Linked DNA regions of Drosophila melanogaster. The protein of the gene in region 2 interacts with the protein of the main gene of each other region in a pairwise test. Each region holds a gene or a part of one and is shown on either strand. Other genes may lie near its edges.

Region 1 (7,786 bases), on a different chromosome or scaffold from region 2:
GATACAGCCCACGATCTGAATGTGAGTATAAAGCTTACACCTCTGAACAATGGGAAAAATATTAATTTACGCATTTTCGAAATCATTTATAGCTGCTGCAAGATGTGGATCCCATGGAGATTCTGTCCTATCTGGATCCTCAGCCCGATCTTAACACGCCGCCCTCGAGTGGCAGCAGCAACAACAACGCCAGCGACGACTTGCTGGCCACGTTATTCGACTAGGCCAAAAAAAGGCAGGGGCGAAGCTGGGAGAGAGTTGGAGAATTGAAGTGGCAGAATACCATAAATTGTATATAGTATTATTAATTTTAATGAAATGTGCACTAGACGCCAGTCGCGTACTTCAACCAACATTTTCGTTTCCTCACACAAACCAACAGCAGCAACAAGTAAAAATACACAAAAAAAAAAAACAAAAACAAAAAACAAAATGGATAAACTATTACAAACAACACACTGGATGAGAAATCGAAGCGGAAATTTGAATTTGCCCGTGTTGAAAAACAATGAAATGTGATTTAAAAATTAATTAATTAAATTAATTGGCATTTAATTTAAAGCTAACTGAGAAAAACCCATGAAAACTACAAAAAAAATGCACACTAAAGCGTAAAAATTAACAAACAGTCATTATACCATATAAAAAATTAAAAAAAAAAGAAACCAATTCAGTTGAGAGCATGAAAATTCCTTCAATGAAATTTACGAATTTAAAATGCAGCAGAAAGTCCTTTGTTCGTTTATTTGAAAATTACATTTTTTGTTTTGCCTTATCCCAGACTTTTGTTGCAAAATGTTTCTTGTTCATTTACAAAGTATTAAAAAAAAAAAAAACAATCTATTAAATCAGCGCAACAACAAAACATGAGCAAAGAAAAACAAAACAAAAACGAAAATCGAGAAACACAAAATACATACAAGTGAAATCCCAACAATTTTATTACATTTATAAAATGAAAACATTTACATTTTAATTGTTGCATAATTTTAATTATTTTTTAAAGCCTATCTACATATTAAAAGTAAATGATTTAGCTTGGTAAACGATAAACGAAATTTAACAGACCAGCTGAGGAAATATTAAGATAATATTAACTATAACGAACAGAAAGTAAATGTGTACAATTAAGTGACAAAGCGAAACTGCATAATTAGTGGAAGAGAGAAACAAACTATTAAAAGTGTAAATCAAATTTAATGCTAGATCTAAAATATATTGTATATATTGGATATGTATGTTATATATGCGGCAACAACAAAAAACAGAACCCCTCCCCCCAAAAAAAAACACACAAAAGCTAATTAATACATTTAAATAATGATAATAATAAATGAAGAAAACAAAAAGTATTTCAAAACTAAAATTAAAGTGTTATAATTTTCGTTTGCGTCTTATTTTCCCACACAATTTTCCCCCGTTTTCTTTTTGGATTTTCTCCTGATTTTCCGATTTGTTTCGTACGATGTGGTTAACATGGACCAATTTTTATATACAAATATATATATATATACATATATATATGTATAACACCCACACACCGACGAGTCTTTGAATAGAGTATATACGCGAACTATATATAACGGAATATATATATATATTCATGTACGTATCTGATATGATATTCAAATATAGCGAAATTTTTAAGCTTTGCCCCGGCTTATTCCCCGTTCAGCGCTTAACAAAACGAAACAAATCGAAAAAAAAATCGAATAAATCGAAAAAGTCGAAAATTTACGCGAAATCGCCTCGATGTGGTAGTTAAATGAATCTCAAATCTCTTCTCAATGTTATCAAAAACACACGTAATTTAATTATAATATAAACACGTATATCCAAAAGCGAAAAAGAAACAAAATTCGTAGTGGTTTCATTGTAAAACAATATTTCATAATGATTAAACGAACAATTTAGCTTCAAGATTTCGATATTCCAGTTCGATTTCTTCTCTCGCTTAATGAAATGGAAAAATTAAAATTAAAATGACACGATTAACGATTAACAATATCGATAGGCAGTTGGGATGCGCAAATGTGATTTTATTCAAAATAAAATACACATAACCATGATTACAATTAATGAATATTTTTATTTGGATCTGTGGGATCGTTCGCTGGAACTGGCTGCGAAGGAAGAGAGTTGTACATACGAGTATTTAACTAACGTAATCTTTATGAATGAACATGGTATATATCTGATTATATATAATATGTTTAAATTTAGTTCATAAGTTGTAATTTTAAACGATGGAACAAAAGCAAATACACATTAAATAATATGAAGAGAAATAAACCAAATAGCAGCATCAGTTTATTGGGCTCGTCGTTCAATTCCAGCGACTCTTCTTGGCTCTTTTGGCATCCTGGTTGCTGCTGTTGTTGGCCGATGAGGCGGAAGCACCCTGTGTTGATGATGAGGGCGGTGCCATTGGCGCAGCGAAAACTCCCGACTCCGGCAGAGTTTTCTCCCAAGTGCGATCGCTGGACGCACGGAACTGATTGTTATACTGGGATCGGAATGCCTCCCTCATTGCTGTATAGCGATCTGTGGCTGGTCCCGAGCTCGAAAAGGCTTTGCTAGAGGGTCCGTCGGAAGGACTGTGGGCAGACACACTCGCAGTGGACTCCGAGCCACCAGCCGAACCATAGCCACCACCTCCATTTCCTTTCTCCCGATAGCCCAATCCTGTGTGGGTATTTGTTGGTCTCTTGCCTTTGCCCTGCTTGAAGCGTGAGCTGCGGAACCAGGAACTCTTCATGGCCAGCTCCATCAGATCGTCGGGCACCAGCTGATCGGCTCCCTCCAAGTTACGCACCAGATGTCCGGCGAACTCCTTGTCCTTATCGGTGACTAGAGTGTATGCATTACCCTTTTCACCGGCTCTGCCCGTTCTTCCAATTCTGTGCGTGTGGGTTTCAATGTCCCTGGCTGTGTCGTAGTTTACCACATTCCTAATATGGGGTATATCCAATCCTCTGGCTGCCACGTCGGTGGCCACTAGAATATCGCACTCTTTTCTCTTAAACTGAGTGATGACCTTGTTTCTGTCCGCTTGGTCCATATCGCCGTGGAGTAAAAGACAATTGTACTCCTTAATTAAAAGATTGTTAGACACCGTTTCAGCATCTACTTTTTTAGTCACAAAGATCAGGACACTTCCTTCGGAAAGGAACTTCACCAGATGGCACAGCAGCCAATTCCATTTCTGCAGGGGATTGGGGAAGACGTACACAGACTGTGTAATGTCCTGATTGGCCTCGTTCAGGTCTCCCTGCACTATTCTCACGGGATCGGAAAGCACATCTCTGGCCAGACGTTCAATTCGCTTCTTAAAGGTGGCCGAAAACATTAGGCATTGACGATCTGGACGCACGTGGTTGCAGATGGAGCGAACCTGGGGCTCAAAGCCCATGTGGAACATACGGTCGGCCTCGTCAAGCACTAGGAAAGTGACCCTCCTCAGATTGGTGGCCTTCATCTTGACCATATCTATCATACGTCCTGGCGTGGCCACAATAATTTCCGCTCCCTGTTCCAGAGCTTTACTTTGCTCCCATTTGGAGCCTCCGCCGTAGCAGCAGACCACGTTCAGGTTGTAGACCTTGCCAAACTTCTTGGCCTCGTTGTAGATCTGCAGGGAAAGCTCGCGTGTAGGTGCTAGGATAAGTCCTATGGGTCCGTCGCCTGGCTTCAGCTGTTTCTGATCCATCACATGCATTAGCATCGGCCAGATGAAAGCTGCTGTCTTACCGGAACCAGTTTTGGCTATGCCAATGATGTCTCTGCCGGACAGGGCGGTGGGCACTGCTTGTGCCTGGATGGGTGTGGGCTGTGTATACTCCGCTTTCCTCACGGCCTTGATGAGTTGCTCATCAAAGCCGAAATGGCCGAAGGACGTGACTGGTTTGGGTGGTGATGGACCAGTGACCTTTACGCCAAGTGTGCGCCTTAATTCCCGGACTTGCTCATCATCCAGGGCGGCTATGTCGTCATGCTGCGTGTAGAAGTTCTTCTCGAAGGGTTCGTACTCGATTTCGGAATGGTAGATGGGCGGCAGAGGATCAATGTCCTTTTTCTTCGGTGGGGCTATGGGATTGCCATCCTCATCGTATTCGATTTCCTGATCGGATCCCTCGTCGCGAAGTCCAGCATTGGGATTCTCCTTCATGTAGCGATAGTAGCTCTCCTCATCGTCCTCGTCATCGATGTCACCTCTCACCGCCTGAGTTGGCGGCTTAGGTGCTTGTTGACGCTTCTCCTTCTCCACCTGCTGGTTGATGCCCGCCATGAACTGCTCGAGGGGATCCTCATCCGAATCGGAATCCTCTTGCTTTTTGGCCGACGTTGGCGGAGCTCCCGGGGATCCTGGTGCCGGTATATAGGCTTGTTCTATCTCCTTTTCCCGGGGCTCATCGTCATCATCGAAATAGTCATCGTCCGTGTGGTGCTTCCTTTTGCCAACCAGATTGGTGGCATTGGTGTACTGGCTGATGGAGTCCAAGGTGGAGTAGCCGTGCTTGGACGTTGATGTAGTGCTCCCGGTGACACCGCCACGGCTTGCTCCTCCAAATCCTCCGCGGGAACCAGAATAGCCACGGGCATTCAGCATCGGGGGCGGCGGTACGGCGTTCATGTTGTTGCCGGAACTTGCTGGCTTGCGGTAGGGGAAGCCCCCACCGCCAATGCCTCGATATCCACTCATTGTGCTACAAATCCAAGCAAATGCTGCAAGCTAACAATTTCCAAAATCAATAGAAAACAGTATGACCAGAATGAGCAGCAGCGGGACAGCGGGCAAATGCTTTGGGGTCACACTTTAGCTGATAGGAGTTTTACCCTCCTCAATTATGGTCACACTGGTCGAAAGTGAAAACAATTGTTGCTTGTATTTACAAATATTCAGCTAATTAAACCAACGCCTGAAATATGCAATCGAATATTGAGAATGTATCACGGGACTATGCAAAGATACTGCAGAGCGCCGACCTGGAGAAGGAGATAAATCCACTGTGCACGAATATCGAGGATATGCTGGCCAGATTGGATGAATTTGAGACTTTGTTGGCTTCGGTTAGTTGTTTTCTTTAAAGTTAGTGTTTTCACTAATAGTTTATTGACTTTTAGGTGCGTGCGGAATCCAATGGCATGATGGCCAACAACGTCTGCTCTATACTAGGTTTCACAGACAGTTTCGAGCAACTGAAGGCCAGAATCGATGGTCTGGAGCAATGTGTGGGTGTAGTTAGTGCCAATTTGTCGGAAGTGGAAAGATCTGTGGATATAGCCGAGGAGGAGCTGCATGTCACAGACTACAGCCTCAAGGGACTTCTCCTGAAGCCGCTGAAGGCCAAGTTAAGTGCCAGCGATACCAGCACACTCAGCTCCCTGCCACGATCCAATCTCGTCGAGGAGGAATATCAGCCTGTGGAGATCTACAAATCCGACGATTACTTCGGAAAGTCGGAGGAGGAGAACTACGTAGCTAAATGACTAAACATATATGGAATAATTAGATGAAACCTAGTTTTACTAAGCTTAAAATAGAGATGTTACTAGAAGTTAGAGGATCTTTGCAGATGTAAAAACATAAAGGTAATTTTATTAACTTTCTAAAAGCAACTTCATTTGCATTTTGTTTTTAAATTAGGCATTTCTAATGCATTTTGAATATGCAATAACTATCAAATTAAGACAAAGACATCTAAATTCAGCTTCGTAATTACATTTAAGCACCTACTTGTTATAATTGTCATTATAATTATAGCGAAAAATTACAGATAGAATGGAAAAAACCGAGGCAAACAATACGTTGTTTATTGTTACATTAAGTCTGGCTGTTTATATTTATATTACTGATTACTTACATTAGAGTAGTGAATAAAATAGCAGTTAGCTACGTGGATGCCATAAATATTTAGTGAATAATTAGCGAAGAGGTGCTTACGTAAATATTCAATGTTTTTTTTTACGGGAAGCGCGAAGTTAAATTGCTCGAATTTATACGGGGAAATCCGTGGAGTCTCGCATTTAAATTGCTGCCTATAACGTGGAAAAATTCTAAAAAAAACTGCAATACAGCTTTACTATAATAACAATTCTCTGTGTACGCCTTTGTCTAGAACACAAATTAAATTTGTTACCAGGAAGCTACTTTAACGCATAAAATTTAGTGCGCTTGAAGGCGTTTAAAATCGGTACAAGGTTCTTAAATTTATTATTACCAACGTGTGTAGAAGTATTATTAACAAATATGAAGTACATTTAAAGCTTCATATATTTCCCTTGAAGTAATATTAAATTATATTACAATTGAATTAATTCTTGGAAGTTTTACCCATAATTAATGCCTGAAATGCAGTAGATACCACTTTTTACTTTGCCTATTATATTAACTGCCTTTTTACAGACAGCCATCCACATAAATATTTATTAAATAATTAACGCCCAGTCTTTTTATATAAGCATGTAAATATTTGTGTTTATTTTAGTTCGTTTCGCTGACTACAAATCTCGTGATGGTCCCATTAGCGACTCTTAACATAGGAAGCCTAGGCCTTAGCTTTCTCCTTGCTTTCCTCGGAACTGGAAGTGGACTTATCCGCGTGCTTGTTCTTCTCGAAGAGCTCGGCCACGGGAATGGGATGGGGGATGTGGAGATTGTGGATGGACGGAGTGGTGCTTTCCAGCTCCGATTTGGTGGTGGATGGGAGATCGGTGGTGGTGGTGGCTTTGGTTTGCGTGGGCACGGGAATATCGCGCTGGTGACGCTGTTCCGGCGCCTTTCCACCGGCCAGAGATTCGATGGCCTTGTGGAGCTCCTGGGATCGCTGGGGATTGTGCTGGAGCGACTCACGGGCCTTCACGCTGTCGGGTTTCTCCACAGTCTCGCGCTTTTCCTGCTTCTTGGGCAGCTCGGCGGTGTGGGCCACAGCGGGCAGGGCATGGGGCAGCGAAAGATCCTCCACCTGAGGACGATCACCTGCCTCATCCTTGTGGCCCTCCTCGTGGTGAGCTTCCCTCTTTTCCTTCTTGTCCTCATGTGTTTCGGGAGCCTGCTTCACTTCCTCCTTATGTGGAGCTGCATCATCACCATGGTGGCCTTCCTCGTGGTGAGCCTCTCGCTTTTCCCTTTTGGCATCATGAGCTTCGGGGGCCTGCTTCACTTCCTCCTTATGAGGAGCCTCATGGTCTTGGTGACCCTCCTCATGGTGAGCCTCTCTCTTTTCCTTCTTGGCGTCATGGTCCTCGGGAGCTTGCTTCACTTCCTCCTTCTGGGGCACTGCATCGTCACCATGGTGACCCTCCTCGTGGTGAGCTTCCCTCTTGCGCTTGTGGTCCTGTGGCCCAGCCGGAGAAGGCTTCTGGTCATGAATAGGAACGGCCGGCTGCGAGTGATGCAGCTGTTCGTGGGCCTCCACGCTGTCGGGCTTCTTGGGTTCATTACGCCTCTGGCGATTCAGGACGGGAGCATCCTTCAGCAAGACTACCTTGGCGGTGGGCTTGGGATCAACGAGCACATCGGGGCTGATGGGACTGGGCCTAGAGAGCTCCTCAGAGGTAGACTCCTTGACATCCAGAGGTGCTGCGTGGCAGAAAGCCACCAGGGCTAAGAGAATAATCTAAGAAAATGTGCAACACAAATAGATTAAAACGTATTTTATATTCAAAAGATAAAATTTATAGCCCTCATTAATTAACCGATTACAATAGCTTGTATGGAAAACTCAGGGATAATCTTCAAGAGAACTGAGATCTTGACTTACAACCGACTTCATGCTGACCGCTT
Region 2 (10,745 bases):
ATTATCGAAGATTTCAAGGCGGGAAAACTGCAGAAGGACGGCAGCGCCAAGGAGCCCTCGGTCAATGAGCAACTGACTCCGGAGGAGGCCTTGCAACGCGCTCGAAAGACGGGCAGCGATATATTCTAGACATAGGTTTATTGTTTCTTAAATACAGAGTCTAAACTCGACTACTCCTGCATGTACTTTTGGCGGTAATTGTACAGCTTGCGCAGCCACTTCTCGGCCTTCATATCCGGGTCGCCCAGGAACTGTCGGAATTGAAAATCAGATACTATTAGCATGTATATTCGAGCACCAGGTAACCCACTCACGTTCGGATGGAATATTACATCTTCGTTTCGGACTGCAGTGGCTGGCTTGCTGGCGACTGTGACCGTTTCATTGTTCAGATCTATGATCACCTTATCGGATGTCTCCTTTGAATCCCTGGAGCTAAAAAATGACTCCGGCTTGAAGGTGTCCTCGTCTATAGTCTCGAGTGCCTTTTGCACCTTGGTGTCGAACAGATCGATGGCCTTCACGGGAGCAGCTGCGGGTGTGGTTGCGGATCGGGAATTGCTTTCCGAACTTGGACCCCTGGTTTTCCTCTGCGAAATAGACCGCGATTTGTGATGATCCCTGGTTCTGCTTTTGCTGTGCGTGCTGCGGGAACTACTCCTGCTGCTGGAGGAGCTGCGCGAGGTGCTGCGACTGCTACTGCGACTCCTTCTCGAGTACTTTTTCGACTTCTTGGCCTTTTTCTTCTTCGGTTTTGAAACCTGCCGGCTGCTCCTGCTGGGCGACTTTGATCTGTGTCGTCTGTCGCGGTCTCGCTCTCTGTCTCTTTCTCGGTCCCGATCTCTATCCCTCTCTCTGTCGCGATCTCTGTCACGGCGGTCGCGATCCCTCATAATGTGTCCTTTATCGGCAGTTAATTATTTATTTAGTTTTTTATTTATGTTATATTTCTTGTGTGCCGGACGTCGCTCATTCCCAAAATACAAAATCGCCTGTCAAGAAAACGCAACATTTTTACGAATATTCCAGCTGGCCACACTGATTGTGTCAACATGTTTACCGCCTATCGATTTTTGGACTTATCGACCGATTTTAATTTAAACTAATAGGCGCGAATTTTAATTATAGTAATCACTTTAAAATATTTAACTTAGAACTATGTGTAATATTAAATCAATTAATTCTTTTTAACATATTCATTTAATATACTACATTTATTGAGTTTTGTCCTTACCGGCTTAGCATGTCAGTTTACAGACTGATGTGGGGTCTTTTAATGTCCAGTTTGCCGTACGCCCAAAGCAGGAAATACTAATTGCTGATTAACTCTTAGCAATTATACCTAATCAGCAGTTATCAAGATTATAGGAGACCTTATCGCTGATGACCACTAGCCATTCGTTAAATCAACTGGGATCGAAATTCCCACACGATCTATCAGTCTTGGCGAATCAAACCATTTTGCAGGCAAAAATAAACAGTCATAAATTAGGCAGCCAAATCTAGGAATCCTTATCAAGTTCCTGGGGGGCATATAAAAGGCACGGGCGGCCAAGTCAGCGGTCAAAGCACCTGCACCTGTGGAATACAAAATGTTGGTGGTTCAGCTAATTGCGGTTTTTTTAAGTCTGGGCTTGGCTAATGCCCTGCCTGCGGATACGGGGCGCGCCAGTTCGGTGACAACTGTAAGTTTTAGGATGCCATGTTCTTTGGCACCCAAAAGTCCTTACTAACCACTATATTGCTCTACTTTCCAGGTCACCATTGTTAGGGGACACGGTTACGAAATCGAGGAGCACGAGGTGCAGACCTCGGATGGTTACATCCTCACAATGCACCGCATACCGTACTCGAAGAACACTGGGTACGATGGGCCACGCCCTGTTGTCTTCCTTATGCACGGTCTGTTGTGTTCCTCCTCGGATTGGGTTCTTGCTGGACCTCACAGTGGGCTGGCATACCTGCTGTCCGAAGCGGGCTACGATGTGTGGATGGGTAATGCCAGAGGCAACACCTACTCCAAAAGACACGCCAGCAAGTCGCCGCTGCTGCAGCCCTTCTGGAATTTTGAGTGGCACGATATCGGAATCTATGATCTGCCCGCTATGATGGATTACGTCCTTTACTGGACAAATGTGACTCAACTTACGTATGTGGGTCACTCTCAAGGAACCACATCCTTTTTTGTGCTCAACTCTATGATTCCGCGCTTCAAGAGTCGCATTCGATCTGCTCATTTGCTCGCTCCTGTGGCCTGGATGGAGCATATGGAGAGTCCTTTGGCCACGGTCGGTGGACCACTGCTTGGTCAGCCCAATGCCTTCGTCGAGCTCTTCGGCAGCGCCGAATTTTTGCCAAATACACAGCTAATGAACCTGTTCGGGGCTCTCCTCTGCAGCGATGAGGCCATTTCACAGTTCATGTGCACCAACACCCTATTCCTGCTGGGCGGCTGGAACTCGCCATATATCAACGAGACCCTGCTCCCAGATATTATGGCCACCACTCCGGCGGGATGCTCAGTAAATCAGATCTTCCACTACCTGCAGGAGTACAATTCCGGATACTTCCGGCAATTCGACTACGGATCTACGCGCAACAAGAAGGAGTACAGCAGCAAGACCCCGCCGGAGTACGATGTGGAGGGCATCGATGTGCCCACCTATCTCTATTACTCTGACAACGACTACTTTGCTAGTCTGATTGACGTGGATCGCCTTAGGTATACCATGAACCCGAGCGCCCTGAAAAGCGCATATCGCATGCCGGAAGAAAAGTGGAATCATATCGACTTTCTGTGGGGACTGAATATTAAAGAAATTCTTTATGATCGGGTAATTAACGACATAAATAATGCATAAATGTGCGCTGGAAATAAAAAAAAGCGACATACGTTTTTGTGACATTGTGATAAAAAAAGTTCCATTGGTCACCACTTCAACGGGGGCTTTTGGTAGCTAATGAACCGATAATATACGAGTGGTCATAAATTCAAATTGATTTGGTGACACTTCACGGTGACTGAACAACGCAAAACGAACTAGCCTGCTAACATTTTTTGCCTTATAAGTGCACCTGCTAAATACAATGGATTATATTAAGTGTAATATAATAAAATATAAGCTGTACTAGATATTTTTATTTTATTTGCTGATTGTGTACTGTTGAGAAATATTTTGCACTCTTAGTTTGAATTGCGCGCCAACTTTCAGGGATGAAGCATCTTGTAAAATCATCGATAGACTTTCAGCGTTTTTTGTGGTAGTCGATAGTCCGCAACATACTGATCATAGTAAAAAATATCTGTAATGTATATTTAGGTGGGAAAATATATTCATGGCATTTATTTATACGTTAAATCAATTCTTGTTATGATATTCCTTAATTGTAAAAAAATTTTATTCTTGTTCTTATTAGCAGAATATAAAATTGACCAGTTTACGTTAACACTTTTTTTTAAATACAAAAATTTGATTTATATTTGTTTATATTTTAACGAACCGATGTGTGGTGCACCACTGTGCGTGTGTCACGACAATACCCAAGCCGATATTATCGATGTTTTCATCGATGTTATTTACTCGAGCAGGTACATCCACGCAAGGAAAGCTAATTCGAGCGAAAAAAAATTTACTTAGCTCTTAATATTTTTAAAAACAACGCCCTCGCTGGGCCAGTGGTCGGTTAACTAGTTAGCTGTAAGATGACGCGCGTAACGAGAAGTGAAATCTCCCTGGACATGGAGTTCTGGGTGGAGGAGCTGTCGCCGGCACAATTGGCGTACTACGAGAAGATTACTAACGAGCACAACGCGGTGAAGGGTGCACTAAAGAACGCGGTTAGCGCCAACGAGGGCAAGGAGCTGTTTAACGGCCAGGTGTTCCAGGCCTACTCCTTTAAGGGCAAAGTGCTGCAGGAGCTCAAGGAGGCTACGCTGCCCAAAAAACCACCCAAGCCGACGGACTCTCCCTCAACACCCGCCGCCCAAAGCGGTGGCACAGGGCGGGGTCGTGGCCGCCCACCACGACAACCATCCAACATCGCCTACCTGGAGTCCTCCGATGAGGGAGACGACGATATGCCGCTGGCCAAGCGACTGGCGCTGTCTGCAGGCAAAAAAGCAGTGGCCGTGGCCAATGCATCTTCCTCGTTCACCCCGAAATCCAGTAAGAAGGCTGCATCCGCTGCTAGTGGAGGATCTTCTTCACCGGTACCTAAGAGCAGTGGAAAACTATTTAAGGAATCCAAACCGGACATCGAATCGCCGCCGAAGAACTACCGCCCCGCCGAGGTTAATTCGGTGGGCGGTCTGGTGGTGGGCAGCACCGACGAAAGCAAGGATAGCAAAGACGGCAAGGATGGCAAGGATAACAAGATGCAAGGAAAGACATATCCATCTCTGGTGGTGCTAGCAAAGCCTTTTCTCAAGATCAAAGACATGGCTGCCACCCGCAGCAAGCTGGACTCGAAGGTTAAGCTGGTGCTCATGCTTACGCCCAATAAATTCTGCGAGTGGCTGCTCCAGGAGGGATTGCTACGCGCTCAACAGCATTGCATAAACCATCGCAACAACGAGCTCAAATTGGGTAAGAGATATATGATCAACTGAATTCGTTTATTAATGTATTTATATTTAGGAATTTATTCGGATGTGACCAAGTTTCCCTACACTGGTGGCTATGTGTGGATCAGCGAATGTTGCCCCTACCGCTTCGTCTCCGTGTTCAACAATTCCATTTTCGAAGGAGCTCAGCACCCACCCACATTCCTGTTGAAGTTAATTTACCACTGGGCTTGCCAGACCAGTATTCAAAATGTGGTGCAGTGGGTTAAGGTGGACAGTGTTTATATCAAAGGAATCTACACCTGGCTTAGAGCCATTTGCACTTTGGCAGTGCATCAAAAATGCAAGAAGCTGGGCGGTCCCGGCAAGTTTGTGGAGGTGGGTGTTATTTCCCTAGGAACCACATCCCAAGATGGCTCCCAGCGACAAGTGAAAGTTGAGGTTCTGGGCGTCTATGATTATGCGGAGAAGTCCATCCGACTGCGGGCTGTAGAGCCAATCACCGATGGTGATCGTAACTACAAAAAGCGATTCCAGGCCATTCTTGAGCCACTGTCGCGCTGGGTGCACAAGGACAGCACCATTTGTATAGACTTGACTGTCGACAAGATCACCCTCTTCAGCATGGGATTCAAAAATATTGTCCAAGCAGCTGCCACTGACAACACAGCCAAGCACAACAACTCAGCGGTAATGGAATATTTGCGACGGATTGTGCCGCGCATGTTCCAGAACACCCTATCGTTGCTATCTCGCCAGATGATTCAACAATTCCTCGACGAGTTGGTATGGCGAGAGTCCTTTGGTACATATGCCTTGCAGGCATTCAACAATATCATAATACACATTGCCGAGCAGACAAGAGTAACCACCAATGAGACAATCACTCAGCGTCTGTATCAGGTAAGCAGAATCGAAAAATTTTTATTAGCGATTAGCCTTTAATAGCTCTTTCGTTTAGGTGGCAACCAATCCGTTCAAGGACTGGAGTATTTTGCCGGCCAACTACAAGGAGACACCTGCCAATGCTGCTCCCAAGCGCCTCAAGAAACGTTAGTACTATCGTACTTTTGTAGCAAGTTTTTATTTAGGCCGTGAATAGAATAGTGCGTTATGATAATCTGTTAAGTGCCTGCGTTTCTCACTCCAAACTGAAATGTTTTCGTTTTGTTTGATTAGTTTTGGTTAATCGAACCCAACAGCTGAGCTCAGGTCCACTTATTGTGTTATGTGAATTGTGAATTTATATAATCTATATAGGTGAAATGTATCATTGATATATTCACATATGTACAATTTAAGCATTACTTCCTGACATTTCTCGTGTCTAATTATTTTAAAACAACCCCATTAGAGAAACCATAAATAAACTTGCAAGAAATTTAATAACTGTTTTTATTTGATTTCCTTTTTCATTTGGAGTGATAAAACGCAAGAAAGAATTTACTAATTAAATTGATTGGACCCATTCCACCAGATTCAACAAAAATGGACAAATATGTAATGTTTAAGTTTGTATGTTGAGATTACATCTTTTTAAGTTAACATCTTCAATTGCAGCTATCAACGATGCTGACTACGTTGTTTCTAACAAGATTCCCAAGAAGGAAAAGGATCGTGATATAGCATCATCTGGAGTCAAGCGCGGCCGTCCACCGAATGCATTAGGCACCCCACCACCTCAATTGCCAATTAAAAAGGGTCCAGGTCGGCCGCCGGGCAGTACCAACCAGACAAAAGGAGACAGAGCAACGACCTCGTCATCTAAATCACTGTCTAAATCTCTGATAGCTAAAGGCCTTGGTAAAAAACCGAAAGAAAAAGATGAAAAGATTCCAATGGTCATTAAGAAAGAAGAGGATGATCTAAGGGGCTTGGAGGAGCTGTACTATGGAATAAGTGATGGTACGGACGAGTACCACGAGATCTTTCCATATAGCACACCCCGTACGGTTCACAACGAACTGGCCAAGACCGTGGAGTGTCCAATCTGCCTGAACGGCGACTCCTTCGATTCCAATGAGAAACTCCAAACGCATTTAGTATCGCATATTTCGCCAGAGGGTAAGCAGCACCAGTTCCAGTGCCTTTTTTGCTTGGAGAAGCATCCCACCGAGTCGGTTTTGGCCAAACACAACCAGATCATGCATCCAACTGAGACAAAAACGGAGGGTTCACCCTCGTACTACTGCCTAATATGCCAGCAGCGTCACAATTCCCTGCATCTGTTGACGGCTCATTTGCAGAAGGTCCACAGCACCCTGGAACTACCATATTGGTGTCACTCCTGCGGCTATCGATCATCTTCGCACCGCGATTTGGTCAGGCATTTTTATGACGACCACAAGCATCAAAACTTTTTACAGTGCCCCTATTGCTTGGATGTAAGTAGCTGTCATGGTAAAGTAATCTTGTAAAGTTCTCTCTATTAAAAACTGATTCTTTTTAGATTTTCTACTTCTCAAAGCTTGGCGTCGTTAACCAGCTGCGCATAGAACATTACTTCATGCATTTGGACGAGCACATCAACAAGCGTGATCCCTCGCTGCGCTGCCAGAAATGCTCGCTATCCTTCCTCGAGAAGGGGGATCTAAAGCAGCACGCAGTGCAGCATCATGTGAGCATGACTAAGACCAATAGACCGGTGCGTCTCTTACTCAACAACTCGATGTTGATACCACCGCCAAAGATTCGCACCCATCACCGCGAGCAGCCGCCGTTCTCCACCTACAAGCGGCCAGTATTCTTTGCTTTTCTGGAGGGTAAGACCTGTGCCGAGTGCAACACCGATTTCGCCAGCGAGGAGACACATTACACGTAAGTTCAAAAATATTTTATTTACCTAAGCAATAAATCGCCATGGATAAAGGTGCCAGTATTCACAAGAGAAAACCAGAGCTGACAGTATCCAACCAATTCCCAAGACACACCAGCCCAGTCTCAAAGTATCCACATCGATACTTTGATAGCCCAGGACGTTATCTACAAACCTAACGTATCCAGCACGCATGGCATCGTTAAAGTCGGAAACTACCCAGTGATTCAGCAGTCCAGTATCCTGAATCTTCAATATGAAATGGTTAAGGGATGTCTCCAAGTGGCTGTCAACGCGCATTGGATAGCCAATATGTGGAGATCCCAAGCAAGCAGATGAAAAGCGAAAAATCGGCTTAAAGGCATATTGCTGTTGCATGGCAAAAAACTGCCAACGTTCTTCTGTAAAAGGGTACGCGAAGCTGCGATTAAAACTCAGCAAAGCGGACACCTGTTCACTGGCATTTACAGGCACCAAAAGCCGAGATACTTTTTCCACTAATCGAGGTTCAACATGGCGCAGAAATGTGTTAATTTCATACTCCTTGACGAGCACCCTTTGCTGCTGGTGGACAAGCTGATCCATGCTATTTACTTGCTCGCCCACTACTATGGTTGTGAAGAAGCTGTCCAACTCAATGTTGTACCAACTTGTGGACATGAATCCCAGGACTGAAAGTTGTAGGAAAATAATCAAATGGCGCCATGTTGGTCTGTAAATTGTTATAGGGGGGCTGATAAAAAGTATCTTGCTTATCGCATCTAGAAAATTCAATCCCAAGCGTTGCGGCCAAGAACTTTTATTGAGTTTCGGGCTTATGCAATAGAGAATTCCAGTGATGTAGAAAACTGCGAATAACAGAATATACCAGCTGTACAATTGGAATGGTCGCAATAGGTACATGTGCCTTGGAATCTCATTTCTCATGGGCACAATCAAGCAGTTTGGATATATTAGTAAGGGGTAACTCTTGGTTGCTGTTGGGGGTGTGAAAACGTACGGGTGCAAAGAGATTTCCAATTGACCGTCTATAATCAACTGCACAATGTGGTTCATATTCACACTAGTTGTTGGGTCTAGATTCTCATCTGGATTGGTCAAACGCAGCGAGGCATTATAGTGATCCAAATATTCCACGAATGTGCGATATGCGTATCCCAGCACCTTTCTGCTCTTCGTTAATGGATCGTGCACATGAAACACTCTCGGAATATCATTTTCCGCCGGAGTGGATACTACATATCCATGGAAATTCCTTGCTGCATGTGGAAATAGCGGTTCCGTATGAATATCGAGTTTGAAAAAACGCATCGCCGGATACGGAGTGTAGGAATAAAGCTGATCCCTTTGCAGGACAAGAACGTTGAGGAATTGATATTGCCATAAGGCGTTGAATATTGATTTAATAGCACCTTGCGAGCCACTTCTTTGATTACGCAGAATGATGATCAATCGAATGCGACGGAGTTTTCGTAGATTTCTATCCAGAGTAAGCCACATGATATCATGTTTATCATGACAAAAGAACAAAGCTATGCCATTGTATCTAGTGATTTTAAAATGACCAAGGGGTCTTATATGTTCAGGTTGGAGAAATAAATTCATTGTCAAGCTAGTAACTCCCATTGTTTGATGGAGCCAAATAATCAAGTCGTTGAGGTCGCCTCCTTGCGTATTATGTCCGACGAATATTGGTGTATTTATCCACGGCTCCCGTGTAGAGATGAGACTTAGAACGGATTTCAACAATGTCACATTGTAAGCAGCGTTTGTTAGCGCCAGTAATAAAATAACGACCAATAAGGTTAACACTTTGCACATGGTGGTTGATTCAATTGTGACAAGCCAGAACCGCGGGTTGAGGTTTATAAGTCAGCAGCTAATTGATTTAATAGTGGCTGATTGATCTCTTGGGGAAAACTCATTAGAATGTGTGAGGCAATAATTTGTAATAAAAGGTTTTGGCGCTCTACGCACTCATTTAATCACTTTTTTATATTAAATCTTTTCCCAGTGGTTGGCTACACTGCGTTAAGTGCAATTATCAGACATGTTGCGAGCGAGCGCAATTCCGTCATGGCGTGGAATGTAATGGAAACTTTGTGGACGCCATGGAAGTGAATATGCCACAGGAGATGCACTGCATCTGCGGCTTTGCCACCGGCAACGGCAACAAGATGGCTCAGCACTTGGCAAATTGTGGACTTAGCACCTGCTACCCAAGTTTGGAGGCTGCCAGTGAGAATGCCGTCAAGCGTAATATGCTGGACATGTTGGGCCTGGTTCGACGCGATGGAGAAACCTCTGGTGAAGGTGCAGATATTAGCGAGACTGCTGATGATGTCGCGGATCAGAGCTCCGACATGTTGCCGCCGCAGGAGGACCATCATTTGCAGCAACACCATCAACAGGTGGGACATCAGCAACAGATGCAGGGACAGCCGAATGAACCGCAAGCGGAACTTCAACAGGAATACTTGTCGGCGCCAGTTGAGCATGAGCCCGTGCAGAATATGCCAGTACATCAGAGCATGCCGGTGCAGCAGACCGGTCCAATACAATTTGGAGAAATGGAGGCGGCCCCAGTTTTGCTGGATACCCAGCAGCAGGTACAACCCACCCCGGATTATGCTCAAGTTTCGGTGGTGCAACAGCACCAACAGCAACAGCCCTACGGACTAAGCAACTACGGCCAAAGCTCTTTAGCCACGGATATCGACATGCCACTGATTGGAGAGCTCTCTGAGCCAAATGCTCCACCCACGCCCCAGTTCCTGGGCGAGGTGCACACGCCCATGTTCGATGCAGTCGCTGCCGCCGAGCAGCAGCACTATCACGCCCAGCACCATCACCATCCGCAATGATACAAGCCCCACGGAAAGCTCAAATCACGCGACTATACCCTTCACTGGCAGAACTATTAGTTAAAGTTCATTCATATTCATCGCACATTGGCCATATCCCGAATTCCGTATCACCAATACGAAGGCAAATAAATTGTATAGCACCTATTTATGAATTGTATATTGGCCCCTTTTAAAATTAATGAAACATCATAAATGAAATCTCAGTTGCACAAGGGATTTGAATGCTGGATGTGAGTTGGGATTTTCAAAAGATCCGTTTTGAAAGGCGTAATCAATCCTCTGCAATGGGATCTTTATCTTTACATCTAAAATATCTTTCAATTCATTTGAATATTGGAACCTTATTAATTGTAAATGACAAACAATTTAAATTGTAAATGACAAACAATTTGTAAGTTTAAAATATACCTTCATATCCTTAATTACGACTTTTATTTGTTTTGTATTGAAAAGTTTGTGAATTCTTGAATACCACGCACACATGTGGTCTACGCAATTT
Region 3 (6,282 bases), on a different chromosome or scaffold from region 2:
CGCGCCATCCAGGGTCAGTACGACCAGCTGGGAGGATCCAGCCAGGCCCACAACGGTGGTGTTGCCCCCGTCCTGAACTTCGCTTCCGCCGCTCCAGTGCGTCAGGCCGCCGCCCAGAGCCCCGACAACTCCTACCTGCCATCTTCGGTCTTCCGTCGCGTCTAAGTCGCTCGTTTCACTCCTTTCGGAATCGAAAACGCCAGCGATTTTTGACTGATATTAAATCGTAGTTTTTGTTGACTAATGCTTAAATAAATTCAATTCTTAAATTTTAAAACCAATTTGACTTGTTGTAGTGCATTTGTAAAAACCAAAAAACTTTGCAGGCTGAGTTCATTGGGAACGAAACTTCGCAAGTTCGGATTTATTTGCAGCGAAATATTTTCTTGCAAACTTTGAAAGCGCACATAAGTAGAAGCACTTATATATTTCTTAGGAACTAGTTTATACTTTAACCATATTCAAAATTTAATACCAGTTTATGGCTGCTGAGATCTTGGGTTTTGAACAAGTATTTTTATTTCTTCTTTCTTCTTTCTTTCTGTTTTTATTCGATTATCGCTGCTATAAATAGGTATACAATTTATTTTGAAAACTGTTGCATACTTATGTTGCTTTCGTCAATTTTTAAAGGAATTAACCAAATGAAAATACAATAATTTACATAACCAAATTAGATAACTTTTATTCGAAAACAACGTTTAACAATCGATTTTCTAGTGACGCAGGCGACTCAGGATGTTGGCGGGTAGGTAGTTGCTCTGGGGCACCTGTTGAGGAGTAACGCGTGCTGGAGCAGCTCCCTGGGATGCAAAGTTGATGGCATTAGCCACGCCACCGTTGATGGACTGGCTGGAGCCGCCGAGTTGATCGTACTGCGATTGGATTGCCCGCTGGGCATTGGCAGCATCCTCAGGTGTCCTGTACTTGACGAAGTGCACCTCGGGCTTCTTGTTGGCATTCTGGCGCACGGCATTGAATTTCTGGGCCAGCTCGTTGATATCAGTCTGTTTGTGCAGCACATATATGGCAGTCTGCTGCTGGGCCGCCTGTTTAGCCAGGGCCAAAACGGCATTCTCGTAGCCACGGTTCTCCGGCGACTTGATGAAGATGACGCGAATGTTCTTCTTGACCGAGGCAAGAGCCCTCTGGAGAGCAGCCTTATCCTCGAAGTCGTCATCGTTGGCATAGAAGCTGTAGAACTCCTTGTGAACTGACGCCTGGGGAGCGGCACTATAGCTAACTGGTCCCGCCAGTGCAGGGACTGGGGATACACCACTGCCCCCAATACTGGTTGTCGCACCTTGTCCGTAATTATATCCGGACAAGCTACCGGCACTTGCCGCTGCCACAATGCTTAGAATAATGAGGGCACGCATATTGACCCGATGCCTACGAGATATTCTAGACGAATGAATAATATAGCATTCATTATCTACCTTTTATACCGCCAACGCGACGACGTTTAAAATTAGACTAGAAAATCTAGTCAATTGAGCCGTCTAGTCACTTTGGGGTCCCTCTGGCGGAACACGGCGATCATCGATCTCCGCTCACGAATCGTGACTCGCGAATGGCCAGTGGCTATTGGCCATCGGGTTTTCGGAATGCTGTTAATCTGCTAACATAATTTCGCTCTTAACACATTTAACACATTGTTGTGGGCAAAAGACAGCTTCAATCGTGCCGCCGACTGAGATGAGATTCCGAATCGAAGTCCGAGTCCGAGCTAAGATCCGATTGCGAGTCCAGTCGTTTTCCGAACTATCGTGATTCACCCATAATTGGCTTATAATTTATGCACAAATAAAAGAAAAATAACCGATCTCTTGGCTGTTTCAATCGGATTGTTTTGTTATATTTGCTTGAATATGTATACAGAACCGCTTATTTGTTAATGATTTCAACAAAAAAGTGATCGTCAGCTTAATAAAATTAATGATTAGACTTTGTTTTTATGGCTAATCAGGTTTCGATTGGGCATAAATCTTCATTGCCTTCGTATGTGGGTTGCACTTGAGATTCCTTTCTAATTGTACGTGACACACGACGGGCCTCGGAAACCAGGTCATCTAACAGTTGTTGGCATCTTCGCGACCTTGAGCTGTCGTCGGGAAAGAACCAGTTCCTCGTTGGCCGGGAGTCCGGTATTAATGCTTCCCGCTGGCCAAGTGGGTGGATCTAATCTTGTAGTCAATTAATTTGGCGGCATGCGAGTTGGCTATGTCAGATAATTAGTCCATTGATTTGTATGGAAAGTCTAGGTGAATATGATTCGACGAGGGCTTAAACTCATAAAGGAAACCTGCTCCGAACTGCCTTTCCTGATCTTGATGTCGTCAATTCGAGATATTTATAGTTTGAAGGGCACTTTTTATACTTAACCCATCCGCAAACAATCAAGCCAAACAAGGCGGACTTAATGCACCATTAGCTACTATGGCCAAGCCGCAATAAAAATCTCACTCTATAAAACACATAAGGTAGACCTTTGTTTAAATTTTCGTATTTAAATTTCAAATTTATTGGTGTAATTATGCATTAGTCAACAACGTGTAACAGGAAGAATGAGTTCTTCAGTCGAGATTTGCTTAAGTTAATGGAGTCCAAGATGTAGCCTTCCTAGAAACGCAGACGACGGAACACAGAAGTGGGCAGGTAGGCGTTGTCGGGGATCTGGGCGTTAGCCTTCTGGACGGGTCCAGCGGAGGCGAAGTTCAGGGCGGGTGCAACACCACCATCATGAGCCTGAGAGGATCCTCCCAGCTGGTCGTACTGACCCTGGATGGCGCGCTGGGCGTTGGCAGCATCCTCGGGAGTGCGGTACTTGACGAAGTGCACCTCGGGCTTGTTGTTGTTGTTGTTGCGGATGGCGTTCAGTTTCTGGGCAAGATCTCCAATATCAGCCTGCTTGTTCAGGACATAGATGGCGGTCTCCTGCTGGGCAGCCTGCTTGGCGAGGGCCAGGGCAGCGTTCTCCAGACCACGGTTCTCGGGTCCCTTGATGAAGACAACGCGCAGTCCCTTGTTTACGGATCCAGCAACACGCTCCAGTTCTTGTGGCTCATCGAAGTCCTGCTCGTTGGCGGAGTAGGTGAAGAATTCCTTCTGGAGCTCAGCAGCGGGAGCGGGGGCGTTGTAGGAGACTGGAGCGGCCAGAGCGTCGCCACCTCCTAGACCACCGAGTCCACCAAGACCGCCAAGACCGGAATCGATGGAGCCACCACCGATGGAACCACCAAGGGATCCACCTCCGATGCTTCCTCCTCCGATAGAGCCACCACCAATGAGGCCTCCTCCAATAGAGCCTCCTCCAATAGAACCTCCTCCGATGGAGCCTCCTCCAATAGATCCACCACTGATAGAGCCGCTGCCAGGAGCGAAGGACAGTCCGGAGCTGGAGTGGCCAACGGGCTGGTAGTTGTAGCCGAGCTTATCGGCGCAGGTGACTGCCACCAAACACAGGACCTGGAGGCATGAAAAGAGAAGTGTTATCCTGGCGTATAATCCTTTGAATCCTTAACCGCGCTACTTACAATGAATGCGCGCATCTTAAGCAGATTGCTGGTTCTTTTGCTTTGAGGTATGAGTTGCTTGTGTCTCTGGCTAGGAGCGATCTTTATTATTTATACAAATCCATCTTGGAGGCTGATAAAGACAAAGATACCGCCGCGGCGTCTGCTGCACGGAGATTTCTTTGAAGCCACTGTGTTTTGCCGCCTACAAAGGTTTTTGCTTCCTCTGTTTTTTTTAATGTTCGGTGTGGAATTTTTTGGTTGCGTTTCAATGGGCAGAGTCTGGCCGTCGTGGGTTATTCAAATATTTCGAGTTTCGTCCAATAGTTTACAAGAATTCATATTGAATTATAAAATTAATATGTCGCGAGCACGTCGGAATGAGTTTAACATGCAGATGGGTCATAATTAGGTACGAGTATTATATAAAATACATTTTTTTGACAAATTCTTCGGCAAGGCTAAAAGCTTGTTTTATGTAGGACATCTGCACTTGGTTTTTCCGACTGAATGACAATCGTTTAGTCATTATAATCGTTTTCGACACATCTGTTTAGTTCTGATTTATGGACATGATGCAAGCGCTAAATTTAGCAAGTCGTCTAATGAGATGTTTGAAATGCCGCCCCCAGTTCATTGATTCTTTATTTTCGCATATATTACTAATGAAATAAAAAATTTAACTTGAGAGTGGTGAAAACGATATGTTTATATTTAATTTAACTTTTTTGTCGTAAAAACATTTTGCCTACATTTAAAATATGCGGAAATATTTTATTTTATTCTTTTCCCAGTACTTCGTAGGATAATATTTTGGTTATGACAAATATTAAACGTCAAGGTCATCGGGAAGCTGCCTTGGGTAATATAGCTTACCAAATTCTTAATGAGTTTTAAAGGTCTTTTGCTTTGTATTAAGTTAATAGCGTTGCACCTTTTTAAGAATAAATTCAAATTAAAAGTCATTACCAAACTTTTTGTGCAATAAAAACAGGTCGAAAAATCTCACCAAAGACTGAAATAATTTTCTAAAAGCCCAACTTGTAACTCCACTCATGTTGTCATCGGAAGGTATACACTATTGTTTACTACACCACCATCCAATATAAAATATCATAGAATGTTTGTATTCAGATTTTTGTATATTATTTATCAATAGATTTCAACAATAAGATTTAACAAGAACAGTCAACGCCTTCATCTCGAAGTCGTTAAAATATTTACAAACGACGACGGAAGATGGAAGTGGGCAGGTAAGCGTTCTCAGGGATCTGAGCATTAGCCTTCTGGACGGGACCAGCGGAGGCGAAGTTCAGGGCGGGTGCCACACCACCGTTGTGGGCCTGAGAGGATCCTCCCAATTGGTCGTACTGCGACTGGATGGCGCGCTGGGCGTTGGCAGCATCCTCGGGAGTGCGGTACTTGACGAAGTGCACCTCGGGCTTGTTGTTATTGTTGTTGCGGATGGCGTTCAGTTTCTGGGCAAGATCTCCAATATCGGCCTGCTTGTTCAGGACATAGATGGCGGTCTCCTGCTGGGCAGCCTGCTTGGCGAGGGCTAGGGCAGCGTTCTCCAGACCACGGTTCTCGGGTCCCTTGATGAAGACAACGCGCAGTCCCTTGTTTACGGATCCAGCAACACGCTCCAGTTCTTGTGGCTCATCGAAGTCCTGCTCGTTGGCGGAGTAGGTGAAGAACTCCTTCTGGAGCTCAGCAGCGGGAGCGGGGGCGTTGTAGGAGACTGGAGCGGCCAGAGCGTCGCCACCTCCTAGACCACCGAGTCCACCAAGACCGCCAAGACCGGAATCAATAGAGCCACCACCGATGGAACCACCAAGGGAACCACCTCCAATGGAACCGCCTCCGATAGAGCCACCACCAATGAGGCCTCCTCCAATGGATCCTCCTCCAATGGAGCCTCCTCCAATCGAACCACCTCCAATGGATCCACCTCCAATGCTGCCACTTCCAGGAGCAAAGGACAGTCCGGAGCTGGAGTGTCCCACGGGCTGGTAGTTGTAGCCGAGCTTATCGGCGCAGGCGACTGCCACCAGGCACATTACCTACAGGATTCAAGGGTTATCCGTTAGTTGTGAATTCGTCTTAAGTCCTGGCTACACCACTTACGATGAAGGCGCGCATCTTTAGTTTTGGGTTTGAGGTTCTCTTGGTTCGGAGCACAAATTGCTTCTGCCTATGACCACGGCGGCGGTAACTATATATACTAACCCAACTTCGAAGCTGGCGGCGCAGTTTTTCGAAGACAAAGCGCTGATGCTGCTAAATGTTTTGTCCGCCTACAAAGTAGGCAGCGAACGGCTTTTGTTCGGGCTCGCAGAGCAATTCAGCTTTGCATAAATGTTATTATAAGGAAAAGCTATTAAAAAACAAACAAATTGCAATGGCCGATGACAAAGTCAGAAACTTCGAAGATCTAGATTAAAAATAGATATATAAATCTAAGCGTATTTGTTTTTATCGATTTTCGTTTTTTATTCAATTACATTTATACAACACATTTAACAACTGTCGGTTTTCGTTCGGTCCTTAACGGATGCGCAGGCGACGCAGGATGTTGGCGGGCAGGTAGGAGTTGCTCGTGGCGGCGGCTGGTGGGGAGTAGTTGGGGCCACGACGAGCGGGAACCACGGGGGCAGCGGAGGCGAAGTTGATGGCGTTGGCAACTCCTCCGTTGATGGACTGGCTGGATCCTCCCAGGTTATCGTACTGCGACTGGATGGCACGCTGGGCATTGGCCGCATCCTCG
Region 4 (7,739 bases), on a different chromosome or scaffold from region 2:
TTGCATTACTTTTCCCACAATTTAAAGATGCGACTCCTTGGGCGAATTCTAAATTCAATTGCTAGAGATGGCACTTATTTGCGGAGTTATAAGTGGTTTCATATCTTTGAAATATATATACCAATTAGTAAAATCGAAATTTGAAAGAAATACCAAGCTTCGTGCTTTAAATTCGTATAGACCACATCTTTAAGATGTGTCCCAGTTTTTGAAGTCATGGCAAGTGCATATATTGTGTGGTTTAGAAAACTCCATAAGTGCCGCGAAACATGATCATAATTCCATCACACGCGCATCTCTGTGGGCCAAAGCCAACGACCGGCCAGAGTTTGTGGCAAACTTGTTCTGACTTTTGTTACAATTGGCGATTCCTTTCTTTTTTTTTTATTCAGCTTTCTAGCGCTGCAAGACAATGCACCATAAAACTGCAATGGAGTTGTGATCGCTGTTGTTTTTTTTTCTTTTTCCTGGCTGCTTCTCACTCCACCCATTTCCATTTCAGTTGCCATGCAAATTTCTGACTCGTGTTGTTTTTCCGTCTCGAATGTTTTCCTCTTTCCGGGCACATTTGTCAAGGTGTCTTGTAAACAAGGAAACCGGGCAGCCCAAGAAAATCCAGAGACTCCAAAAGAATCCAAAAGAACCCCAAAAGAACCCAGAGCCAAGCACCGTTAGATCAGATGCAGACATAGTGCTTATATAACGCATTGCGCCAGCCAATTGTGTTTTTTTTTTTTATTGGTTAACTCTTTAGGCCATAAATGGTAGTGACAAAAGTCGGAATTTATGGCCCGCTGACAGCTCTGATAAATAACCCAAGGCCCGACTTTGGCTTAGAGTGGCCCAGGGTTTGGTTTTTGTATTTTGTACTTCAACTGGCGTTGGAATGGGGCGTGCTGCAGGTGGGGAAAGCACCTAAGAGAGCCATAAAATGTTTTATCTTCGACTCTGTTCTTGCAGCACGTCGCCGTGAGGAGTCCGAAGTTAATTAGCAGGGAATAGATGGCTTTTAAAATTCCTCCTCCTGTGGCAATTAATCTGACAATGCGTTACAAAAAATGTGCCGACAGAAGTCAAGGAAGCACATGGGTTTACGTTTTATTGAAGCATAGAACAAAGGTCATAAAAAGGAAATTTATATCTCCCCATTAAATTGTATTAATATCTATGGGAAAAATGACACCTAAGTGTCCAAATAAAATACATTTATATATAAGCTAGGTACTAAAATGTTTGGTTACATAAACAACAATCTAATAGATTAATTACGAAGCCCATATTTTGCATAATATAAACCTCATATATGGACCAGCAACACCCTTTTATAGGGGTAGGTATATCTAATTTCCATAAGTCTGCTTATTTTCCGTGTATTTCGCTGATGTTATTCGGATAGTGGCGACACAAAAGAAAGAGATTCTCCTCATATGGCCAGGCTAAGTTTGGTTTGGTTTTTGCTTTTTCGCTGCCTTCTTTATACGTGCACTCTTTTTCAGCTGCTTGCCTCACCGTTGCAATATCAGATTACGTGCGGGCCAGCTTTTGTTGTTCTTGGCCGGGTAATGGGGCCTCTCCTTAAGTGCCCAGTGCTATTCGGCATATCAGATGTTGCTAATGTGGCCGCGCTAACTGTGGGCTGGACTACAGCGCTCCACTTGAAAGGAGAGTTTAGATACCAGATACCAGATACAAGATACTTTTTTTTTCGACCTTGAGATGGCGGTCGAAGCTCAGCTCCCGGCCCTGATAATCGAATTTGTGGCACACCACACTTTGGTCAGATTATCGAGATGACCAAAGGGCAGTCAGGAAGTTCTTTTGATACCTTAAAGATATCAAGTGGCTTTGTAAGCTCATTAACTCGACTAGGCTCTACAAATTTCTGGTAAGATTATTATTTTTTACAACTAATTGCGTAAGTGAATAAAATGAATTTATTATTCTACGATTTTTGACAAACATTTTTAAAATTTTCTTCAGTTTCTCAAAGTTGAGACTTACATAGAATATAGGTCATTTATGCACCATATAATTGTCGTGTATTTCGACTTCCAGTTAAAGACATTATTATATAGCCTAATGAAGCTTTCTTCCCGTCTTCGTACCCAAGCTCGTAGATTTCCTTTAGCTCCCTGAGTTCTTTCACTAACATTTTCAATTGCAGGCAATTAGCAAATTCTCTTTTGGCTCGCCTTAATGGCCGTCTAACGTAAAATGTCGTCTTACACACGAGTTTTATAGCTTCCGCTTTGCATTATCAAATATTATTGGTGTTGTTCTACCGCTTCTTATAGCTTCTTCTTTCTACCTTCTTTGCGATTGCATGTCGTCACGTCAAGCTCCAAGAAGTGGCAAGAAGAAGCAGTAGAATCGGCGCAGCAGCTGGATGGAAGAGAAAAAAACCCTTGGCTATCTAATGATGATCATTAGGAGCGGTACTGTAATCACACAGAAGCCAAACACAAACTCAAACTCCCAGCTCAACCTTAAGCCAGTTCTCCTTCTTCTAGCGCAGCTGCTTCTTCTTGCTTCTTTTTGTCAACATAAAACGGTAATTTCTTAAACAAAAAAGTAAGAACAACATCACAGTCAGTATCTGAGTAGCAAAAGATTACTCTGAACATTTATACACAGGAAACAAAGACGAGTATATAATAATGACAAGGTAGATCTTAGAAATCCACATTTTTTCTTACGTAATGTATTTTGAAAGATTTATTTGTATTAAGCCGAAAGATAGATTTATTTTACTAAGTATTACATTTAATAAATAATAATAATATCTTATTTTATATTCCCATTTTAGGATGGACAAACTTTGCCCAAAACTTGTACGACGGTGATTTTTTTCTAAGTTATATTTATCTTTTATTTGTTGACCCTCCTTTTTTGTGCAGTGTAATTAAAGCCAGTGCAACCTACATTCTCTCCCTTGATCTCCACACTCTCGGTCTTCTCCCTTCTGGTTTCCCCGGTTTTCCAATTCCGAGTGCGTTTTTTGCGGCTGTGCGACCATTGTAACGGCTTTGATTTGTCTTAGGAAGTCGCCTAAGTTTTTTTTTTGTCGGCGTTACCTTGGGTTCGTCTTGCCCCAATTGAACCTCCCCGCTTTTCTCACAGTGTGCCCCAGTGATGCGACTTTTTATGTTTGCCTGCCGCTGCTGGCATCTTAACAGTTAAATGCTTAGTTTACATCATTAGCATGCCGTTTCCAGATATTTTCTTTTCTTTTGGCTAATAAATAAGCAATTTGGTGGCTGCTTCTTTTACTGTCATCGACTATTTCTTTAATTGGTCTGCGCAAGCTGGTAAGCATTATTTAATTAGCATAGATTTGCTGGGAATCGGAATAACTTGATTAACATTATACAGTTGGGAATTTCATTTCTAATTCAATTAAATAAATACACCATTTACTTTTTATTACCAGAAAGTTCGTTGCCTCAGTCTTTCGTTTGTATTGAATAAAATATGAATTTTCATGTTCTCTTTACGCTTTGATAAATACGCAAAGAAGTGCAGAAATCTTTGATAATATTATTAGAGTCTTCCAAGAAACGAATTAAAATGTATATGTTGTTTTACCGCACTCATTACACCTAGATCAACACACAGGAATCGTTGCCTGTGGAGTCAGTTCGTTGCCTGAGTCTTTCGATTGTGTGTGATTTTGCTTTTGTCTCTGCGGCCGCAAGAACGAGTGCACTGAAGCATGGTCTTTTGGCTCCGGCTGTAGGTTTTTGTGTGTGTCTACTAGTATTTATTTATCTGGCCACCAAGTCGGTGGGTTCTATTAACCATGTAAACAATACCGTTAACACGACACGACGCGGAAAATGCTTTTGGCAGCGGGAGCGAAACAGATAAATGAAATGTGCCGCAAGAATTTGCCAAGTTGGTGGCGGCAAAGAGGGACGTGCCAACTGCATATACCACACCCCCCCCCCCTACGGTAATGCATCACAGAATTGAACAACAAGAACAGCTACGTAGAAAAAAAAAGCGTGAAAAAGAGGCGACAGGAAAAACGGTTTGAGGAAAACACTTATTAAATTTTAGCATGCCCAAAGTGTGGAAAGAGCTGGCGGCGAGGCCACAAAGAACCGCAACAACGACCCCAAGAACGAACCAAGAATTCCCAATGATGCATTCCTGGAGTTTTCCGCAAGTTCACATACCTGTCCAGTCTGAGGTTTTCCTATATCCACTCTAACTGTGGGGCACAAAAACAAAAAAGCATTGAATATAACTCCACAGCTTAGTTTATTATTGATTTGTTTGTTTGCTTATGCTTGCACTTCACCACTGCCACTCAAGGGTTCGATCATCGTTGACCACAAGAAGTGTCTTCTAGTCTTTGAGTCTTCGAAGAAGAGTCATTTATTGTGTTTTTTTTTTATTATTATTTTTATATCCACCTTGCGCGTATGGTTTTCTCGTTCTGAACGCGTCGCGTGCTGTTTTCAAACTGAGGCTCAGCAACAAGTTCGAGTTGCTTTTAAGAAAAGCATTCGGAAGAAAGTTGTCTGCATACTGAATTCTTTTTCTGTTCGAGCGCGCCAAAGATTCTCGTTCGAAAGCTGCAGCGAAAGAGATATATTCTCTCGAGAGAAAGAGAGCATCTGCTAAGAGAGTCTTCTCCATTCCACCGAAGGGAGATTAATTGCTGGTTGTACTGCCGATAAGCATGAAATGTCGCTTGTCCGCAGTTTGTTGGCCAATTAAAAATTAGATTTCGCTTTAGATTTTGTCCATAAGATTGGCCAAAGTTCGCGGAACGATTGCAAAGATAAAAGTTCGGACGGGCTATTTTTTTGAAAAATAAAAACCTTCAATAGTTTATTTAAAGAGTTGAATGAACTAGAAAGTGACAAGCTGCCTTCATTGACACCACACATAATTGTCCGTGACATGTGATTAAAATAATGGTGTAACTTTTGCGGGGCTTTACTTTCAACTTCATGTACACAAAATTATACCTAGCATAATGCAAATATGAATATTATTTGTTAAGACAAGAATTTATTTGTTCACACATATTTTGTATATTTTACACTATTTACTATTTTTTCAAACACATTAGTCACTTTATTTGAATCAACAATGCAATCTATACCTCTTATTTATGGCCCAATCATATCTAACTCATTTCAATAATCCGTTCTTCCCTTTACCAATTATAAAACCATTCGCAGTCTTTCCGACCGCAGAATCCCGACATGAAAAAATATAATAATATATACTTGCGTGTGTATATACACAAAAGACCATAAAGCACAGACATTCATTCCGATGCCAAATGCCGACGCCAATAAAGCCCCCAAGTAAATAATTCCAGGCATTACTCCATTACTCATAATGGCGCAGCCAAATGTCGCGGTCGCATCCTCATCCTCATCCTCGTCGGCGGAGGAACGCAGCAAACGATTGAGGGAGCAGGGATCTGGAGACTGGCGACGGAGGAGCAGCCGCCCATGTTGTTCGCCAGGTTGCATAAATCTGTTCGATTCATAACACAAAGATTGCGAAGGAAGCACAGTGATCTGGCCTTGCCTCAACTTTGCTCAGATGAATTTCTTTTGTTCAGAACGGAGATGACATCGTGAATGCAACATAAGTTTGTATTCACTTTTATAAACTAAAAACTCTTTTTAAACTTATACTAAACAAATTTTTTGAGTTTTAAAACTTGTTCTTCATAATATGCTGCAAATGATCGCAATTGATTACTCTCTATAAGAAATGCAACTTCCACTTTTTCGAAATTCGGGTGGACTCACTGCGGCATCTCTGGTTCCCGCATGGTGACTCCTTTATCAGCCTTGTCTTCATCGATCGCGTCGGAGATTTTGTCCGTCTGATGGAGGCGGGGGTCCGTCGGTGGGTCTGTTCTGGTGGACTCCCCTGTCCATTCCCGTTGAGTCGTCGCTTTGTCTTGACTCCTTGGCCAGGCAGCTTGACTGGGACTTGGAGGCGTGTTTGGTTGGGGGAATGGAAACAGAATAATATAGAATGAAATATTTATCGCCATTAGAGCCTGATTAGCTGCGGGCGTGTTCTGGCCATCGTTCTTTGGGCCACGTTCCGCGCTCTTGGCCGCCTTGCTTGCGAAGCTCTTTTGGAGGCACTTAATAAGCTTTGCTGGTGTGATTGTGATGGGAAATTGATATGTCCATTCAATTATGTACTGGTCGTGTCAATAAACTGATTGCGATCGTGTCCAGCAACTTACCGAGCAATTAGTTTCCCAATAAGAACATTCCGATCAATATGATTGATAAAAACAGCGATTGAAGAGGAGTGTCTGGGATGAAATGAAATCTGGACGTGCTGACACCAAAAGTGAGACGGATTCAAAAGCAAAACTCATTCCAAGTGCTAAGTTCCCTGGGGAGTATAGTGCTCAGAATAGTTGTGCAATAGAAAAATGGAAAGTTAATCCGGATATTTCTTGGTAAAGATAACATCTTGTTGACATTACCCTTTTTTGGTTTATATTCAGTTTTTTATAACAAAAGAAAAGATAAAGCTTATTTTTATATCTTTATTTTTGCTACTTCTTGGAAAGCTTTATCTAGTTAAAATTGGGTTCACATATAAGTTGGATATCTAAAACATTTATAGTCTTATCTGATTTACTTTGTTATAAAATATATATATACATTGGTTACCATCTTCTTAAACTAGCTCTATTTATTTATTAGATAAGATAATTCGACATATAACAAAATGTATATAAATGCTTTTAAGTTCTTTCAAAGATACATTACAATCAATTAATGCATGATTTTAAAGACTCTAAAAGTTGTCATTTATAATAAGCACGTGATACTGCAATCTCATAAGTATTTCTTTATTCAGATACTATCTTATACTCCAGAATTCATTTCTTTTGGTTGGCTGCTATCCATGTTATGAACGAGGAGACCTGGACATACACCGACGGAGAGTTGGGCTGACCACATGGAAGTTTTCCCCAAGACACGATGCCGATTAGAACGTTTCCCTGGACCAGCGGACCACCGGAGTCCGAGGTGCAAAAGCTGGTGCCGCCGGTGAGAGGACCTGTGCACAGGTTCGTGGTGTGCACATCCTGACCCTTAGAGCCAAGTGCCGCAGCGCAGGAGTCGAGGCTTATGATGGGTATGTTCTTCGCCTCCTGGAGGGTTTTCGGATATGAGGGGCTATTCGTTTTGCTAGTACTGCCCCAGCCAAAGAGGTCAGCCTTTCCAGTTGGCCTCACGCCGGACGATGGCAGCTTCACCGGAGCCACTGCAGCGGTCCAAGTGAAGGCGGTGGGCGTGTAAATCAATCCGATGTCATAGGGCACAGTTCCGCCGGTATAAAGATCATTGATCACATAGTGGGTGATTTGCCTCTTCTGTGTTGTGCTCGCTGTTCCGGCCACCGCAATGCTTCCAGCCACCAGGGTGCTTCCAAGTACTTGATTCCTATTGGCCAGGCAGTGAGCAGCCGTTACCAGCCAGTTGGAATTAATGATGTTAGCGGCGCAATAGTGAGTTCCTCCGTACTGCATGGACACTATATACGGAGCACTATTGGCCGCCGCCGCTTTTCCACCCACAACGCGTCCTTCGGGTTGGTCCAAGGCTAATCCAGATCCTTGGGAAACGCACACCGCCAGCAGGAGGATAGTGGCCAGGTGGCGATGGCGCCACATGGTTTGTTGTCCATTCGCAATCATGGTTTTCACAGAACTGTTTACATTGGCACTATCG

Evidence for each region.
Region 1: the proteins of row (region 2) and CG6418 interact in a two-hybrid assay, tested with the Drosophila melanogaster proteins (one large-scale study listed by BioGRID).
Region 3: the proteins of row (region 2) and TwdlB interact in a two-hybrid assay, tested with the Drosophila melanogaster proteins (one large-scale study listed by BioGRID).
Region 4: the proteins of row (region 2) and CG17211 interact in a two-hybrid assay, tested with the Drosophila melanogaster proteins (one large-scale study listed by BioGRID).

The regions. Positions count from the first base shown.
Region 1 is NT_037436.4:10,874,244-10,882,029, forward strand, and holds CG6418 (uncharacterized protein), read right to left. Parts: upstream 4,795-7,786; 5' UTR 4,703-4,794; coding exon 2,327-4,702; 3' UTR 2,072-2,326; downstream 1-2,071. Other genes in the region: tna (tonalli), read left to right, coding at 1-21, 93-224; Blos4 (biogenesis of lysosome-related organelles complex 1, subunit 4), read left to right, coding at 4,927-5,070, 5,125-5,490; CG6409 (uncharacterized protein), read right to left, coding at 6,549-7,619, 7,764-7,775.
Region 2 is NT_033778.4:15,206,448-15,217,192, reverse strand, and holds row (relative of woc), read left to right. Parts: upstream 1-3,558; 5' UTR 3,559-3,703; coding exon 3,704-4,586; intron 4,587-4,637; coding exon 4,638-5,467; intron 5,468-5,525; coding exon 5,526-5,616; coding exon of another isoform or gene 5,617-5,621; exon of another isoform or gene 5,622-5,948; intron 5,949-6,124; coding exon 6,125-6,948; intron 6,949-7,013; coding exon 7,014-7,381; intron 7,382-7,406; coding exon of another isoform or gene 7,407-9,200; intron 9,201-9,393; coding exon 9,394-10,243; coding exon of another isoform or gene 10,244-10,303; 3' UTR 10,304-10,666; downstream 10,667-10,745. Other genes in the region: mRpL41 (mitochondrial ribosomal protein L41), read left to right, coding at 1-129; CG11808 (uncharacterized protein), read right to left, coding at 171-251, 315-893; CG8093 (uncharacterized protein), read left to right, coding at 1,593-1,685, 1,758-2,861; Ir51b (ionotropic receptor 51b), read right to left, coding at 7,407-9,200.
Region 3 is NT_033777.3:26,619,946-26,626,227, forward strand, and holds TwdlB (TweedleB), read right to left. Parts: upstream 3,599-6,282; 5' UTR 3,552-3,598; coding exon 3,537-3,551; intron 3,469-3,536; coding exon 2,623-3,468; 3' UTR 2,506-2,622; downstream 1-2,505. Other genes in the region: TwdlM (TweedleM), read left to right, coding at 1-165; TwdlP (TweedleP), read right to left, coding at 717-1,379; TwdlL (TweedleL), read right to left, coding at 4,736-5,578, 5,643-5,657; TwdlO (TweedleO), read right to left, coding at 6,063-6,282.
Region 4 is NT_033779.5:12,111,090-12,118,828, reverse strand, and holds the start of CG17211 (uncharacterized protein), read right to left. Parts: upstream 4,470-7,739; 5' UTR 4,179-4,469; intron 1-4,178. Other genes in the region: Phae2 (phaedra 2), read right to left, coding at 6,884-7,681.